2 linked regions of the Saccharomyces cerevisiae S288C genome follow. Changing the gene in region 2 together with the main gene of any one other region gives a genetic interaction. Each region holds a gene or a part of one and is shown on either strand. Other genes may lie near its edges.

Region 1 (8,574 bases), on a different chromosome or scaffold from region 2:
TCCACTGGCCAGTTGGTCTCGGAATTGAGGACCAAAGCTGGGCCAACTATGGCAATGGCACAAAACCCATGGAATGCTGTGATGCATCTAGGTCATTCAAACGGTACAGTATCCCTCTGGTCACCATCCATGCCTGAACCATTAGTAAAATTACTTTCTGCCAGAGGACCAGTGAACAGCATTGCTATCGATAGAAGCGGGTATTACATGGCAACCACAGGGGCTGATAGGTCGATGAAAATTTGGGATATCAGAAACTTCAAGCAACTACATTCTGTGGAAAGCTTACCGACGCCAGGAACAAACGTTTCCATTTCAGATACTGGTCTATTGGCATTATCTAGGGGCCCTCACGTTACGTTGTGGAAGGACGCTTTAAAATTAAGTGGAGACAGTAAACCGTGCTTCGGGTCCATGGGAGGGAACCCACATAGAAACACCCCTTACATGTCACATTTGTTTGCCGGAAACAAAGTAGAAAATTTGGGATTCGTACCATTTGAAGATTTACTAGGTGTAGGCCATCAAACGGGTATTACGAATTTGATTGTACCTGGTGCAGGTGAAGCCAATTACGATGCCTTAGAATTAAACCCATTCGAAACCAAAAAACAAAGACAGGAACAGGAAGTCAGAACCCTATTGAACAAACTGCCAGCAGATACAATTACTTTAGATCCGAATTCCATCGGTTCAGTGGATAAAAGGTCTTCTACCATAAGGTTAAACGCTAAGGATTTGGCGCAAACTACAATGGATGCTAATAATAAAGCCAAAACCAACAGCGACATTCCAGATGTAAAACCTGATGTGAAAGGTAAGAATTCGGGTTTGCGTTCCTTTTTGCGTAAAAAGACTCAAAACGTTATTGATGAAAGAAAATTAAGAGTACAGAAACAACTGGATAAGGAGAAAAATATTCGTAAAAGAAACCACCAAATCAAACAAGGCCTAATTTCAGAAGACCACAAGGATGTCATCGAAGAGGCATTGAGCAGATTCGGCTAAATCGAAATATCTTTAAAAAAAAAACTTAAATGATTATGTATGTATATATAAAATAGATAATCATTATTATTGCCTCAAGCATTCTTCTATCCATTTTTTTTTTGGTTCTTTTTAATATTTTATAGGAAACTTTTAATCATGTTCAAAAAGTTGACAGTATGAGAATCGATTGCATATTAATATAGCAATCTAATTGAGATCTTAGCAGAGGTTTGATTTAGTTGTTCATAAATATCTTTAATATCGCTTTGGTCAACAGAAGAGATATCAGCCATTAAATAAGCAATTTCACCATTTGAATCGGAAAATTGCTTTTCGATGTTATGGTTCGATAAAATATCATTGACGGTCTTCAAAACACCTGGTACATTTTGGTGAATGTATAACACACGCACAGTGTTCTCTTGGTCGTAAGACAATGATTTCAATGCCACTTCTGGGAAGTTGACTGAACCGACAGAGTTACCTTCATTGATGTATTTGGACAATGCGGTAGCCACTTCAATACCGATTGAGCTTTGGGCTTCTTCGGTAGAGCCACCAATGTGTGGTGTCAAGATGATATTTGGTAATGAAACTAATTCAGAAGTCCAGCTATTTAGCTCATCGTTAAATGAACCTTCACCGTTCTTAGCTGGTTCATGTGGATAAACATCCAAAGCAGCACCTGCAATTTTGTTGGCTTTCACGGCTTGGATCAAAGATGGAATGTCCACGACAGTACCTCTTGAAGCATTAATAACATAAGCGCCATCCTTCATAGCAGCAAATTGTGGGGCAGATAACATTTTTTCAGTTTCAGGAGTAGCTGGTACATGTAGTGTCACAAAATCAGATTTATTCAACAATTCATCTAATGTAGAAACTTGTCTGGCAGTACCCAAGGCCATGATAGTTACAATATCGTAGTACAACACATGCAAACCCATAGCTTCTGCAAGAACTGATAATTGGGAACCAATGTGACCGTACCCAATAATACCAAGAGTTTTTCCTCTTACCTCCCAACATCTAGCAGCAACCTTATTCCATGTACCGGTATGTAATTCGATAGATCTATCACCTAGTTGTCTTGCTAAACTAATGATTTCAGCGATGACCAATTCTGCTACTGATCTTGAGTTGGAGAAAGGCGAGTTGAAAACAGCAATACCTCTGCTGGTAGCGTAGTCTAAGTCAACTTGGTTGGTACCGATACAGAAACAACCAATACAAACCAGATTCTTCGCATGTTGTAAGACATTTGAAGTTAATCTAGTCTTTGATCTGATACCAATAGCATGAACGTCCTTGATCTTTTCGATCAACTCTTCCTCGGGCAATGAAGATTTATAGAATTCGACTTGGTAACCTTGCTCTTCGAAGATTGTAATAGCAGTTTGATTAACGTTTTCTAATAGTAAAATCTTCATATCACCCGTTGAGAAAGGCTTCAAAATTTTTGGGTGCTTTACAGCATTCAAGCGCTGTGGAACGGTATTCATGAAAGATTGCGTAGGTGAAGTACAAACAGCGCCTGGGGAGCCGCTCATATTCATAGCTTGTTGAAAGGTATTTTGTAAGTTGTTAATGTCAATGCTTGTCATTGCTGTCGATTTTTCTGTGGTTCTTTATAGAGTTCTGTATTTTTACTAAGATAGTTGACAAGTATCAAAAAGTGAAATAACTAGAAATGGTTCTTCCTTTATATACATAACAGTTTTAAGAATTTCCTTATCCTCTGCTCCCTCCTTCCAACAAAGTAATTACTCATAACTTGGATATTTGTCTGATTTTTTCATCCCGCTCAGAAAACCCTGCACGGGCAGCGTTGCATTTTCTTAATTTTTTTCTCGTGGTAGAAGTCAAGGACAATAAATTGCGAAATTAGGTGGGAACGAGAAGAATAATTAAAGTGCTGAGACCGAAGTTGTTCCCCTTGAATTCCATTTGTGAGTAAATATCGAAAATGGGTCCACAAAAAAAATTAGGTTTTTCTAAAATATTAGGTCCAGCCTAACTGCTTAACCAAATTTTTAATTTGTGATATTTGCACATAGCTTGGCCAAACAAAGGCATTACTCGATTGTGAGTAAAAAACTAAAACAATGTAGATAATCAGGATTAAACAATGGCATTTCTATGGATTTGTTGTTCTCTTTATATATTTGAGGAAAATTCAAAGATAATGGGGAGAAAGGTGGAGATGTATCTCCACCTATCGTAAATTTGAAAGTTCCGCTTTTCCGCCAATTGCACCCAAACATCACGCAACGCTTTTTAAAACGTTATCAATATATCCAATCCAGCATTGTTAAGTTGATTAGTAAATGGAAGAGATTCCATTGTGTACAAAAAAGGGTTTTAACTTGATTATTTTGTTATAACGTTCTATACAGTTGAATGAGGTAAAGAAAACAAAAAAATATTTCATTTTTAGTATAGATTATTTGGTAGCTTCAGGTTGCTTCACGGTGTAGTCTCCGTTCTCTTGCTTAACAATACTGCCGGAATTTAATAGTTGATCAAACATATCTTGAGGAATCCACCCTTGAGTGGCAGCAAATGGTGTAGAGATTAGCTTTTCGTGTAATTTTTGCAAATCCTCAACATGTCTTTCAATATCTTCTTTACTATAGTTTAGAGGAAACTTTTTCTGATTCACTAACTCATTCTGGGCAAAGATGTCCCAAACTTCCTTCAATTGCAATAGTGATTCATCAATAAGTAAATACTCTTCTTCCGTTTTTCTTTCGACAGCTGCAATATATGGGCTTCTCAGTAGCTTAACAGGTGGGGCAACTGCAGTAATTAATTTAGGATTATTGTCATTTAATTTTTTCTCCCATTGATGTTGATTACGGGTGCGCTTGTACATGAACTGATATTGCACCTTTTCCGCCTCAGATAATTTGTCAAAATCGGTTATGTCCTCCTTTAAGTCATAAATCTTGGGCCCATCATAGGCGATGAATTGTGGCGAATTCTGTAAAATGAAAGGTTTTGTGCATGCTCCTTCAAAATCTAATAGATAGGCTTCTTGTGCTTCTTTGTTAACAATAATATTCATGGGGTCTAGATCAGGATGAAACAAACGTGGTGACAATAGTTCCTGCATATTTGGAATGGCCTTTGTTTTGACGTTGAATAAATCCGGGGCAATCTTAGCTAAATTTTCATAGGTAGTTATTTGCTCCTTCAAAGTTCGAGGATACATCAATTCAGCTGAACTTCCTGCCTCTTTCATGGCTATTCTAGTTTTAGCATTTTCAGCTTCCAATAGGCCAGTATTTTTAATTATATCCATTGGAGACTTCTTTGGCCATGGTCCCAAAAAAGGTTTCATTTGTTTATGAAAATCCAAGTGAGATTTATGTCTCCAGAGACATCTTTCCACGGATGGCCCAATTTTCCATCTGTTTTGTAGATCCGGATTAGTTTCCCCATCGTATATGTCTTCCTTAACAAACTCCTTCTCATTTCCGTCTTTTAAGTCATTGTTAAAATATATGGATCCAAATGCATTTAATTTCAATGACACTAACTTCGACTGAAAATCAGAAACTTGTTTAATAACATTGTCATATTTTTTTTGATTGGAGGAACCGTCTTCAATCAATGGATCCCAATCTTTCATCAAGAGTTCTCCTTCGATAAATTCTTGTAAGACAAAAGGCTGCCTTACAGGGTTCAAAGAATTGACACCATAACAAAAAATCTTGGGAACTTTGATGCCCAACTTCAAGTCAGCAAAATCCATGGTTGCTACTTCACTTCTTATTCTGTAGGATAGAGTGTTTTCATTTTCCAGCGGATAAGGAATCCTCAAGATAAATGCCTTGTTCAAATTCGTGTCGACCTTGTATATTCTGTGATGTTTACCTTCGTGAATACTAGATAATGTGGTTACTTGAACTTTTTCATTTGGGTTGATTTTACCTATATTCTTTGGTACAACGTTATTGACCAATGAAACGGTCAAGTTCTTGTTAAACACTGGTGGTAAGATCTTACCGTCGGGGGCCTTAGCCATTTCATTAGATTGAATGTAGATGTCATTGAGAATGCGATTTAAACCTTCAATCGAAAACTTCGTGAATCTTTTTTCCTTTTCTTGCTTATCATTTTTAAGCCATGAGCCCCACGTATATTTGAAAAAGGCATCTCTCTTTGGATCATTGTCATTCGTTAGCTTGGTAAAAACTTCGTTTGGCTTATTGGAGATAAATCTCTTGGTGGCGGCGACGGTGATACATTTAATTGCACCCACTCTTTTCGAAGCTCCTACTACACACCTTCTGGAATGGCCAGCAACAGTGTACCTAATCATGCTTGGTCTTCGTATTGCTGTCTTGCTTGCTAAACAGCTTTTGCTACTTCTTCTTCGCTGATGAGAAAAGGGAGTCTACTAAATACAGTTCGGCTTAAAGTGTCGCTGGTCAGCAATCGGCCCGAAAATACATTGAACATTTGAAATTACCATGTTTCAAAACGAATATTTATTATAATTATTACTAGTAAAAGTTATACATAAGAAGGGAATAATACAAAGAAACGGGAAACAGCTAAATGTAGTATATAGCCGAAAGATGTGGACATATCCCAACAAATCGTCTTATGAGATCCTTTTTTTGTTTTATATTTTTTTTTTTTAGCGGGTATAAACGTATCATTTATATATTTTATTCTTTCCTTTAACTCTCAAAATTTGAGCAATTAGGTTACTGTGGTTCACGTGATTCAAGTGTGCACATTGCTGCTATGCTTTGTAGTATTATCCATAGAGTTTAGGGAGGGGGAATGGTCGGAGAGTGGGTAATTTGCATTGTCTAATGGAGCAGAATCAGCGTTACTTTTCTGGAAATAAAACTGGTCCGATAACGAAGTAGTAGAATCAGAGGTGAGATTGGAGTTGGAAGTGGTGTTGAGTTTGTAAAACTTTTCGGTTTGATCATGCGATACCTTGTATTTGTCATCCTTGTCATTCTTCTTTTTTTTGTTCTTCTTTTTGTTCTTAGGGTCTACCATATTGCTAGTCTTCGGGGTAGGAGACTTTGTTCCATTATTGTGATCATATTGTTTTCGAACCATGGAATTCAATAAATTAAGTGAATATTTCGGAATCCCATCTCTTTTGACATTAATCCCCTGAATACCATCCTTCGTGGCAATCATGGAGGCACCTGATGTGATGGAGCAACCTGAGTTCGTTCTCGTTATCCTATCTTCACCAGAGGCAATATTGGAAGGGCTCATTGATCTCTGATCTAAGTCCAGGTTAGTAGACCTGTTATTAGTGTAAATGGACTGATCATAGAGAGAGATGGCAGATGCAACATCTTTTGAGCTTATTGAATGTGATGAATCAGGCATTATTAACTATTCGCTTCCTTTTCTTATCTCAGCAGTTTGTGTTTTTTATTCTTATTGTTATTATCCCTTTTAACTATATATGCATAAGCTAAGTTAAATATTAAAATATTTATATATAAACGTTACAGGGCGTGTGAACACATTTGAAAAAATGCTGGAAGGTAATGGTAGATATAAGAATTGGAATAACAGGTTGATAGAGAATCGCCAAGCTAGAGAGTTCTGACAAGCGGCAAGGGGGAAGGATGAGACGCAGATACGAAAGCCGCACCATTAAACCGTAAAGAGAGAAAAATAAAGAATGACTTATTTCTCGGAAAGGCCAAATGCAATTATGCAACACGCACACATTCACACTCACACTCACACATAAACTTTGACTGAAACCAAAACTGTTGTGAGTAATAGCCTTTCTTGTTCATAAAATAGTACAAGATACAGTAAATATATATCAACTCACCTGGTATAGGGATCACTTACTGCACTGCAAAAGTGGATCGTTTGCGCAAGAAACTCCACCAATTCTAAAGAATATAATAGAAAAAGCTAATAGGAAAAGTGGTCATTTTCTGTTGATATGTTACATAGGATAAACCCAGTACGGTTTTCTATGCAATCTTGCCAAAGATACTTCTCGAAGTTGGTATCGCCATTGGAACAGCATAAAAGTAATACTTTTACTAATAGAGTCAGAATCCCCATTGAGGCAGGCCAACCACTGCATGAGACAAGGCCGTTCCTTATAAAGTCGGGCGAGTTGACACCAGGCATTTCAGCCTTGGAATACTATGAAAGAAGAATTAGGTTGGCGGAAACATTGCCTCCCAAAAGTTGTGTGATTTTAGCTGGTAACGATATCCAATTTGCATCTGGAGCAGTATTTTATCCGTTCCAACAGGAAAATGACCTGTTTTATCTTAGTGGTTGGAATGAACCTAATTCGGTCATGATTTTAGAAAAGCCAACGGATAGTTTAAGTGATACAATTTTCCACATGCTGGTTCCGCCAAAGGATGCGTTTGCTGAAAAGTGGGAAGGATTTAGGTCTGGGGTTTATGGTGTTCAAGAAATTTTCAATGCCGATGAATCTGCTTCCATTAACGATTTGTCTAAATATTTGCCCAAAATAATTAACAGGAATGATTTCATCTATTTTGATATGCTATCAACTTCTAATCCCAGTTCGTCCAATTTTAAACACATCAAGAGCCTGTTAGATGGCAGTGGGAATAGCAATCGATCATTGAATTCCATTGCGAATAAGACCATCAAACCCATCAGTAAAAGAATTGCAGAGTTCCGTAAGATCAAGTCCCCTCAAGAGTTGAGAATTATGAGGAGAGCTGGCCAAATATCAGGAAGATCGTTCAATCAAGCCTTTGCTAAAAGATTTAGGAATGAGAGAACTTTAGATTCCTTTCTTCATTACAAGTTTATATCCGGTGGTTGCGATAAGGACGCATATATCCCCGTGGTCGCTACTGGTTCGAATTCTTTGTGTATCCATTACACAAGAAACGATGATGTGATGTTTGACGACGAAATGGTTCTTGTAGACGCTGCTGGCTCCTTGGGTGGTTATTGTGCTGATATTTCGAGAACGTGGCCCAATAGTGGGAAATTCACTGATGCACAAAGAGATCTCTACGAAGCTGTATTAAATGTTCAGCGTGATTGCATTAAGTTATGTAAAGCTAGCAATAACTATTCCCTCCACGACATCCATGAAAAGAGTATCACACTCATGAAACAGGAATTGAAAAACTTGGGCATAGATAAAGTCTCCGGTTGGAATGTTGAAAAATTGTATCCGCACTATATTGGACACAATTTAGGTCTAGATGTTCACGATGTGCCTAAAGTTTCCAGGTACGAACCATTAAAGGTTGGACAAGTTATTACTATTGAACCGGGTTTATATATTCCTAACGAGGAATCATTTCCATCTTACTTTAGAAACGTCGGAATAAGAATTGAAGATGACATAGCCATTGGTGAAGATACTTACACTAATTTAACTGTTGAAGCAGTGAAAGAAATTGACGATTTAGAAAATGTCATGCAAAATGGCTTATCTACAAAATTCGAGGAGGACCAAGTGGCACCACTGTAATGTTATTGCTAAATTGAGTACACCCTGTATATACAGATACATAACTTATCGATTTAAGGTCTTTTAATATTAAACGGAAAATTCAAAAAAAAAAAAATTTA
Region 2 (8,148 bases):
ACTTAAACCGTTTAACTGCTTCATATCATTCGTTCATTGCGTCAAATGAGATCCAAGAATCCAATGATCTTAACATAGAATCTGACCATGACTTCCAATCCGACATTGAACTACATCCTGAGCAACCGAGAAATGTCCTTTCAAAAGCTGTGAGTCCAACCGATTCCACACCTCCGTCAACTCATACTGAAGATTCGAAACGTGTTTCTAAAACCAATATTCGCGCACCCAGAGAAGTTGACCCCAACATATCTGAATCTAATATTCTTCCATCAAAGAAGAGATCTAGCACCCCCCAAATTTCCAATATCGAGAGTACCGGTTCGGGTGGTATGCATAAATTAAATGTTCCTTTACTTGCTCCCATGTCCCAATCTAACACACATGAGTCGTCGCACGCCAGTAAATCTAAAGATTTCAGACACTCAGACTCGTACAGTGAAAATGAGACTAATCATACAAACGTACCAATATCCAGTACGGGTGGTACCAACAACAAAACTGTTCCGCAGATAAGTGACCAAGAGACTGAGAAAAGGATTATACACCGTTCACCTTCAATCGATGCTTCTCCACCGGAAAATAATTCATCGCACAATATTGTTCCTATCAAAACGCCAACTACTGTTTCTGAACAGAATACCGAGGAATCTATCATCGCTGATCTCCCACTCCCTGATCTACCTCCAGAATCTCCTACCGAATTCCCTGACCCATTTAAAGAACTCCCACCGATAAATTCTCGTCAAACTAATTCCAGTTTGGGTGGTATTGGTGACTCTAATGCCTATACTACTATCAACAGTAAGAAAAGATCATTAGAAGATAATGAAACTGAAATTAAGGTATCACGAGACACATGGAATACTAAGAATATGCGTAGTTTAGAACCTCCGAGATCGAAGAAACGAATTCACCTGATTGCAGCTGTAAAAGCAGTAAAATCAATCAAACCAATACGGACAACCTTACGATACGATGAGGCAATCACCTATAATAAAGATATTAAAGAAAAAGAAAAATATATCGAGGCATACCACAAAGAAGTCAATCAACTGTTGAAGATGAAAACTTGGGACACTGACGAATATTATGACAGAAAAGAAATAGACCCTAAAAGAGTAATAAACTCAATGTTTATCTTCAACAAGAAACGTGACGGTACTCATAAAGCTAGATTTGTTGCAAGAGGTGATATTCAGCATCCTGACACTTACGACTCAGGCATGCAATCCAATACCGTACATCACTATGCATTAATGACATCCCTGTCACTTGCATTAGACAATAACTACTATATTACACAATTAGACATATCTTCGGCATATTTGTATGCAGACATCAAAGAAGAATTATACATAAGACCTCCACCACATTTAGGAATGAATGATAAGTTGATACGTTTGAAGAAATCACTTTATGGATTGAAACAAAGTGGAGCGAACTGGTACGAAACTATCAAATCATACCTGATAAAACAGTGTGGTATGGAAGAAGTTCGTGGATGGTCATGCGTATTTAAGAATAGTCAAGTAACAATATGTTTATTTGTTGACGACATGATTTTATTCAGCAAAGACTTAAATGCAAATAAGAAAATCATAACAACACTCAAGAAACAATACGATACAAAGATAATAAATCTGGGTGAAAGTGATAACGAAATTCAGTACGACATACTTGGCTTAGAAATCAAATATCAAAGAGGTAAATACATGAAATTAGGTATGGAAAACTCATTAACTGAGAAAATACCCAAATTAAACGTACCTTTGAATCCAAAAGGAAGAAAACTTAGCGCTCCAGGTCAACCAGGTCTTTATATAGACCAGGATGAACTAGAAATAGATGAAGATGAATACAAAGAGAAGGTACATGAAATGCAAAAGTTGATTGGTCTAGCTTCATATGTTGGATATAAATTTAGATTTGACTTACTATACTACATCAACACACTTGCTCAACATATACTATTCCCCTCTAGGCAAGTTTTAGACATGACATATGAGTTGATACAATTCATGTGGGACACTAGAGATAAACAACTGATATGGCACAAAAACAAACCTACCGAGCCAGATAATAAACTAGTCGCAATAAGTGATGCTTCGTATGGCAACCAACCGTATTATAAATCACAAATTGGCAACATATATTTACTTAATGGAAAGGTAATTGGAGGAAAGTCCACCAAGGCTTCATTAACATGTACTTCAACTACGGAAGCAGAAATACACGCGATAAGTGAATCTGTCCCATTATTAAATAATCTAAGTTACCTGATACAAGAACTTAACAAGAAACCAATTATTAAAGGCTTACTTACTGATAGTAGATCAACGATCAGTATAATTAAGTCTACAAATGAAGAGAAATTTAGAAACAGATTTTTTGGCACAAAGGCAATGAGACTTAGAGATGAAGTATCAGGTAATAATTTATACGTATACTACATCGAGACCAAGAAGAACATTGCTGATGTGATGACAAAACCTCTTCCGATAAAAACATTTAAACTATTAACTAACAAATGGATTCATTAGATCTATTACATTATGGGTGGTATGTTGGAATAGAAATCAACTATCATCTACTAACTAGTATTTACATTACTAGTATATTATCATATACGGTGTTAGAAGATGACGCAAATGATGAGAAATAGTCATCTAAATTAGTGGAAGCTGAAACGCAAGGATTGATAATGTAATAGGATCAATGAATATAAACATATAAAACGGAATGAGGAATAATCGTAATATTAGTATGTAGAAATATAGATTCCATTTTGAGGATTCCTATATCCTCGAGGAGAACTTCTAGTATATTCTGTATACCTAATATTATAGCCTTTATCAACAATGGAATCCCAACAATTATCTCAACATTCACCCATTTCTCACAAAGGATAAATCTCTTGGTTTGCGGGCCGCATACAAGATATGATTGTAGTTTTTTCAATGGCTCTACTGTCCCACTGCTGTACAACAGAAAATGAGAGATCAGAGAAATAGTATTCCGGAAGCCAGTGGTGTTTACTTATTAGTTTTTTGACGCCACTGCGCGAGTTGCTGCCTAGCTGTTCCTTGGCCAACGCATATTGGAACTTCATTCGACTGATATGCTTACTCAGAGGTCCATTACTTCAAGAATTGTCTCACCTATCGGGCTTGGCGTTTGTACAAGAAGAAACTTTCATCACCTTTGTTTCGCCACCAAATGAAAAAAAAAACTTGCATGGCTTAGGTGGTTCTTTGTCAGAAATATCTTCTAAGGATCAAGAGTCTTACGTGATTCTAATCCCTTGGCAAGTCAGATCTCAAATATGCTCACTCGCAGATGAGTAGCAATGAATGCGACCAAGTGACTAGTGACTGGTGACGACATGAGCCAAGCTGGAACCAGCAGCTTTCACGTCGGCTTATAGCTCTCTATGGGGCAATCAACCACTCATAGTGACTGAAGATCTTTTTAATATAATTACATTGCTAAAAACGTCATACCGCCTTGTGAGCACGATAAACAGCATATGCATTGAGCCTTGTTATTCTTCGGAACTGGGGATAGTAAAATGCGACCCGCTTAGGATGATCAAGCTATCTTTGGGACGGAGTTTTGTCATGGGAGTGGTCATCCTACTGGTGATGCTTCAACATTTGATTTACTAAATTTTGAAATCGGCCGCAGAATAAAACTATTATGTCCAAACAATTGATGGTCGAACCAACGTTAAGGGTTTCAAGTATTGAATTGAACTTTTATGAGTTCTATAATTTCGTTGCGCAAATTCAACTAAACCACCAATATCCCCCCTACAACGCTACACTTTATACCGATAGAGGAATAACGCATAGAGCCTTCGTAGAATTCTTCAACTCGTACGTGATGGGGATTCTAAACCTATCGTCATGTCGCTGTACAAGGCTGCTGCCTGCTTTCAAATTCCCAATTTTACCATGTCCGTTTCGCTGAGCCGAATCGTCACACAAGGTAATTAGTTCTGGGTATCGCTTCAGTATAGCACTGGTTTTTTCCTTGTAAAACCACAGTCTAACAATTAAATGAAGCTTTTCGAAGAAATTAGACCATGTTAGACTGAAAGCAAAGACTCCGGCCCGTTCTGAGGTAAGTTCAATGAAATTGGACAGTTTCTTTTCAAGGTTAGGTTTTGTGTTCGAAAAAAATAGATTACCGCACCTCCTTTCCAAACCCCATGAGTTTCCATTAAGGAAGAGCAACGTCAATAATACCACCTTTTGCAGATGTGATTCAACTCAAGATGCTGTAATCTTTCCCTTCTGACCCTAGATCACCTCATGATATCCTTTTGAGGCAATTAAAGCTGCAGTGTAAACTGTTGAATATCTTTTTGAAACCAAAAAAAAGGACGTTCCACACTTGGCTGCTTTCTTGATAAGCGAGATCTTTACTTGGAGATCTCGCTTAGTCCTCCGAAGGTAAACCCCGTCTCTTATCTTTAAAAAAATGTATCAGACCCTTCAGCACGTGACAGACAGCAAACTACCAGTCGACGAGGATGCTTTTCCGAAAGTCATGACACAAGGGAAGGACTGTAAGATCGATATCGGCGCAGTCTTATCGGATGTTCCAAGTCCTTGTCTCTTTCATTATCTGCTTGCTATCGCAAAAAAAAAAAAATCAATTTGTTTAATATCAACACATAATGTACAAGAACAAATCATGACATACAAAAGCCATATAAGATGAGTCTTCAAGCAGCACCAAGAGGCCTGAGGCAGAGCAAATGTTGGCTCGCTATTCTTTTGTAAGCAATCTGGTACTCACCAACCTCCAACTATGAGATCTTTAAATACCCTTTTACTTTCTCTCTTTGTCGCAATGTCCAGTGGTGCTCCACTACTAAAAATTCGTGAAGAGAAGAATTCTTCTTTGCCATCAATCAAAATTTTTGGTACCGGCGGTACTATCGCTTCCAAGGGTTCGACAAGTGCAACAACGGCGGGTTATAGCGTGGGATTAACCGTAAATGATTTAATAGAAGCCGTCCCATCTTTAGCTGAGAAGGCAAATCTGGACTATCTTCAAGTGTCTAACGTTGGTTCAAATTCTTTAAACTATACGCATCTGATCCCATTGTATCACGGTATCTCCGAGGCACTAGCCTCTGATGACTACGCTGGTGCGGTTGTCACTCATGGGACCGACACTATGGAGGAGACAGCTTTCTTCTTAGATTTGACCATAAATTCAGAGAAGCCAGTATGTATCGCAGGCGCTATGCGTCCAGCCACTGCCACGTCTGCTGATGGCCCAATGAATTTATATCAAGCAGTGTCTATTGCTGCTTCTGAGAAATCACTGGGTCGTGGCACGATGATCACTCTAAACGATCGTATTGCCTCTGGGTTTTGGACAACGAAAATGAATGCCAACTCTTTAGATACATTCAGAGCGGATGAACAGGGATATTTAGGTTACTTTTCAAATGATGACGTGGAGTTTTACTACCCACCAGTCAAGCCAAATGGATGGCAATTTTTTGACATTTCCAACCTCACAGACCCTTCGGAAATTCCAGAAGTCATTATTCTGTACTCCTATCAAGGCTTGAATCCTGAGCTAATAGTAAAGGCCGTCAAGGACCTGGGCGCAAAAGGTATCGTGTTGGCGGGTTCTGGAGCTGGTTCCTGGACTGCTACGGGTAGTATTGTAAACGAACAACTTTATGAAGAGTATGGTATACCAATTGTTCACAGCAGAAGAACAGCAGATGGTACAGTTCCTCCAGATGATGCCCCAGAGTACGCCATTGGATCTGGCTACCTAAACCCTCAAAAATCGCGTATTTTGCTACAATTATGTTTGTACTCCGGCTACGGCATGGATCAGATTAGGTCTGTTTTTTCTGGCGTCTACGGTGGTTAAAGCCTGATCAGTGACTTTTCATCACACTGTGTTTTTATATAGTTCTTAGTAGTAAATATACTCTATAATTTCTACATCCTTTTCATGATGTGCCAGTTAAGCTATTTTTAGCAAACAAAAAGATGAATTTGAGTATTGAGCACATCATTCACTGTTCAGCTGATACAAAACATATGATTTCTAATATTCACATAGGAAAAATCGCTCCAAACATCGAAGTATCATCGCTACTTTGGTCTTTTATCTGCTTCTCTTCTCTTCGCTCTTTTCACTGCTCGTGCCGCTGCAACGCTCCAACTCAGTTCTATCTCAGCTCCTTCCCCTTATCCCTTGAGCAGTGTCAAGGCGAGGCTGCGTGATGTATTCGTGCGCGAAAAAAAAAACAACTGCAGCACCTGAGTTTCGCGTATGGTCACCCACTACACTACTCGGTCAGGCTCTTACCAGCTTAACTACAGTTGATCGGACGGGAAACGGTGCTTTCTGGTAGATATGGCCGCAACCGAAATAGTTAGGTGTGGCAGCCGTACATATGGAAGCCGGGCGATGGCTCCGCCACGTGCAAAGTGCAGGAGCTTTGGAAAGAGCGTGCATATAGTGATGAAAACAGAGAGCACGGTTGCGAACGGAGGGTCTCACAATGTCTCAAAGGATAAATCTCTTGGTTTGCGGGCCGCATACAAGATATGATTGTAGTTTTTTCAATGGCTCTACTGTCCCACTGCTGTACAACAGAAAATGAGAGATCAGAGAAATAGTATTCCGGAAGCCAGTGGTGTTTACTTATTAGTTTTTTGACGCCACTGCGCGAGTTGCTGCCTAGCTGTTCCTTGGCCAACGCATATTGGAACTTCATTCGACTGATATGCTTACTCAGAGGTCCATTACTTCAAGAATTGTCTCACCTATCGGGATTGGCGTTTGTACAAGAAGAAACTTTCATCACCTTTGTTTCGCCACCAAATGAAAAAAAAAACTTGCATGGCTTAGGTGGTTCTTTGTCAGAAATATCTTCTAAGGATCAAGAGTCTTACGTGATTCTAATCCCTTGGCAAGTCAGATCTCAAATATGCTCACTCGCAGATGAGTAGCAATGAATGCGACCAAGTGACTAGTGACTGGTGACGACATGAGCCAAGCTGGAACCAGCAGCTTTCACGTCGGCTTATAGCTCTCTATGGGGCAATCAACCACTCATAGTGACTGAAGATCTTTTTAATATAATTACATTGCTAAAAACGTCATACCGCCTTGTGAGCACGATAAACAGCATATGCATTGAGCCTTGTTATTCTTCGGAACTGGGGATAGTAAAATGCGACCCGCTTAGGATGATCAAGCTATCTTTGGGACGGAGTTTTGTCATGGGAGTGGTCATCCTACTGGTGATGCTTCAACATTTGATTTACTAAATTTTGAAATCGGCCGCAGAATAAAACTATTATGTCCAAACAATTGATGGTCGAACCAACGTTAAGGGTTTCAAGTATTGAATTGAACTTTTATGAGTTCTATAATTTCGTTGCGCAAATTCAACTAAACCACCAATATCCCCCCTACAACGCTACACTTTATACCGATAGAGGAATAACGCATAGAGCCTTCGTAGAATTCTTCAACTCGTACGTGATGGGGATTCTAAACCTATCGTCATGTCGCTGTACAAGGCTGCTGCCTGCTTTCAAATTCCCAATTTTACCATGTCCGTTTCGCTGAGCCGAATCGTCACACAAGGTAATTAGTTCTGGGTATCGCTTCAGTATAGCACTGGTTTTTTCCTTGTAAAACCACAGTCTAACAATTAAATGAAGCTTTTCGAAGAAATTAGACCATGTTAGACTGAAAGCAAAGACTCCGGCCCGTTCTGAGGTAAGTTCAATGAAATTGGACAGTTTCTTTTCAAGGTTAGGTTTTGTGTTCGAAAAAAATAGATTACCGCACCTCCTTTCCAAACCCCATGAGTTTCCATTAAGGAAGAGCAACGTCAATAATACCACCTTTTGCAGATGTGATTCAACTCAAGATGCTGTAATCTTTCCCTTCTGACCCTAGATCACCTCATGATATCCTTTTGAGGCAATTAAAGCTGCAGTGTAAACTGTTGAATATCTTTTTGAAACCAAAAAAAAGGACGTTCCACACTTGGCTGCTTTCTTGATAAGCGAGATCTTTACTTGGAGATCTCGCTTAGTCCTCCGAAGGGTAAACCCCGTCTCTTATCTTTAAAAAAATGTATCAGAC

Evidence for each region.
Region 1: mutations in ASP3-2 (region 2) and SER3 together harm fitness more than expected from each alone (negative genetic interaction), as found in Saccharomyces cerevisiae (one large-scale study listed by BioGRID).

Annotation. Positions count from the first base shown.
Region 1 is NC_001137.3:316,706-325,279, reverse strand, and holds SER3 (phosphoglycerate dehydrogenase SER3), read right to left. Parts: upstream 2,595-8,574; coding exon 1,185-2,594; downstream 1-1,184. Other genes in the region: UTP7 (Utp7p), read left to right, coding at 1-1,008; AIM9 (Aim9p), read right to left, coding at 3,434-5,317; YER079W (uncharacterized protein), read right to left, coding at 5,728-6,360; YER078W-A (uncharacterized protein), read right to left, coding at 6,470-6,634; ICP55 (aminopeptidase), read left to right, coding at 6,938-8,473. UniProt on the Saccharomyces cerevisiae protein: Catalyzes the reversible oxidation of 3-phospho-D-glycerate to 3-phosphonooxypyruvate, the first step of the phosphorylated L-serine biosynthesis pathway. Also catalyzes the reversible oxidation of 2-hydroxyglutarate to 2-oxoglutarate.
Region 2 is NC_001144.5:470,728-478,875, reverse strand, and holds ASP3-2 (asparaginase ASP3-2), read left to right. Parts: upstream 1-4,818; coding exon 4,819-5,907; downstream 5,908-8,148. Other genes in the region: YLR157W-D (uncharacterized protein), read right to left, coding at 2,900-3,112; YLR156C-A (uncharacterized protein), read left to right, coding at 6,266-6,397; YLR156W (uncharacterized protein), read right to left, coding at 6,419-6,763.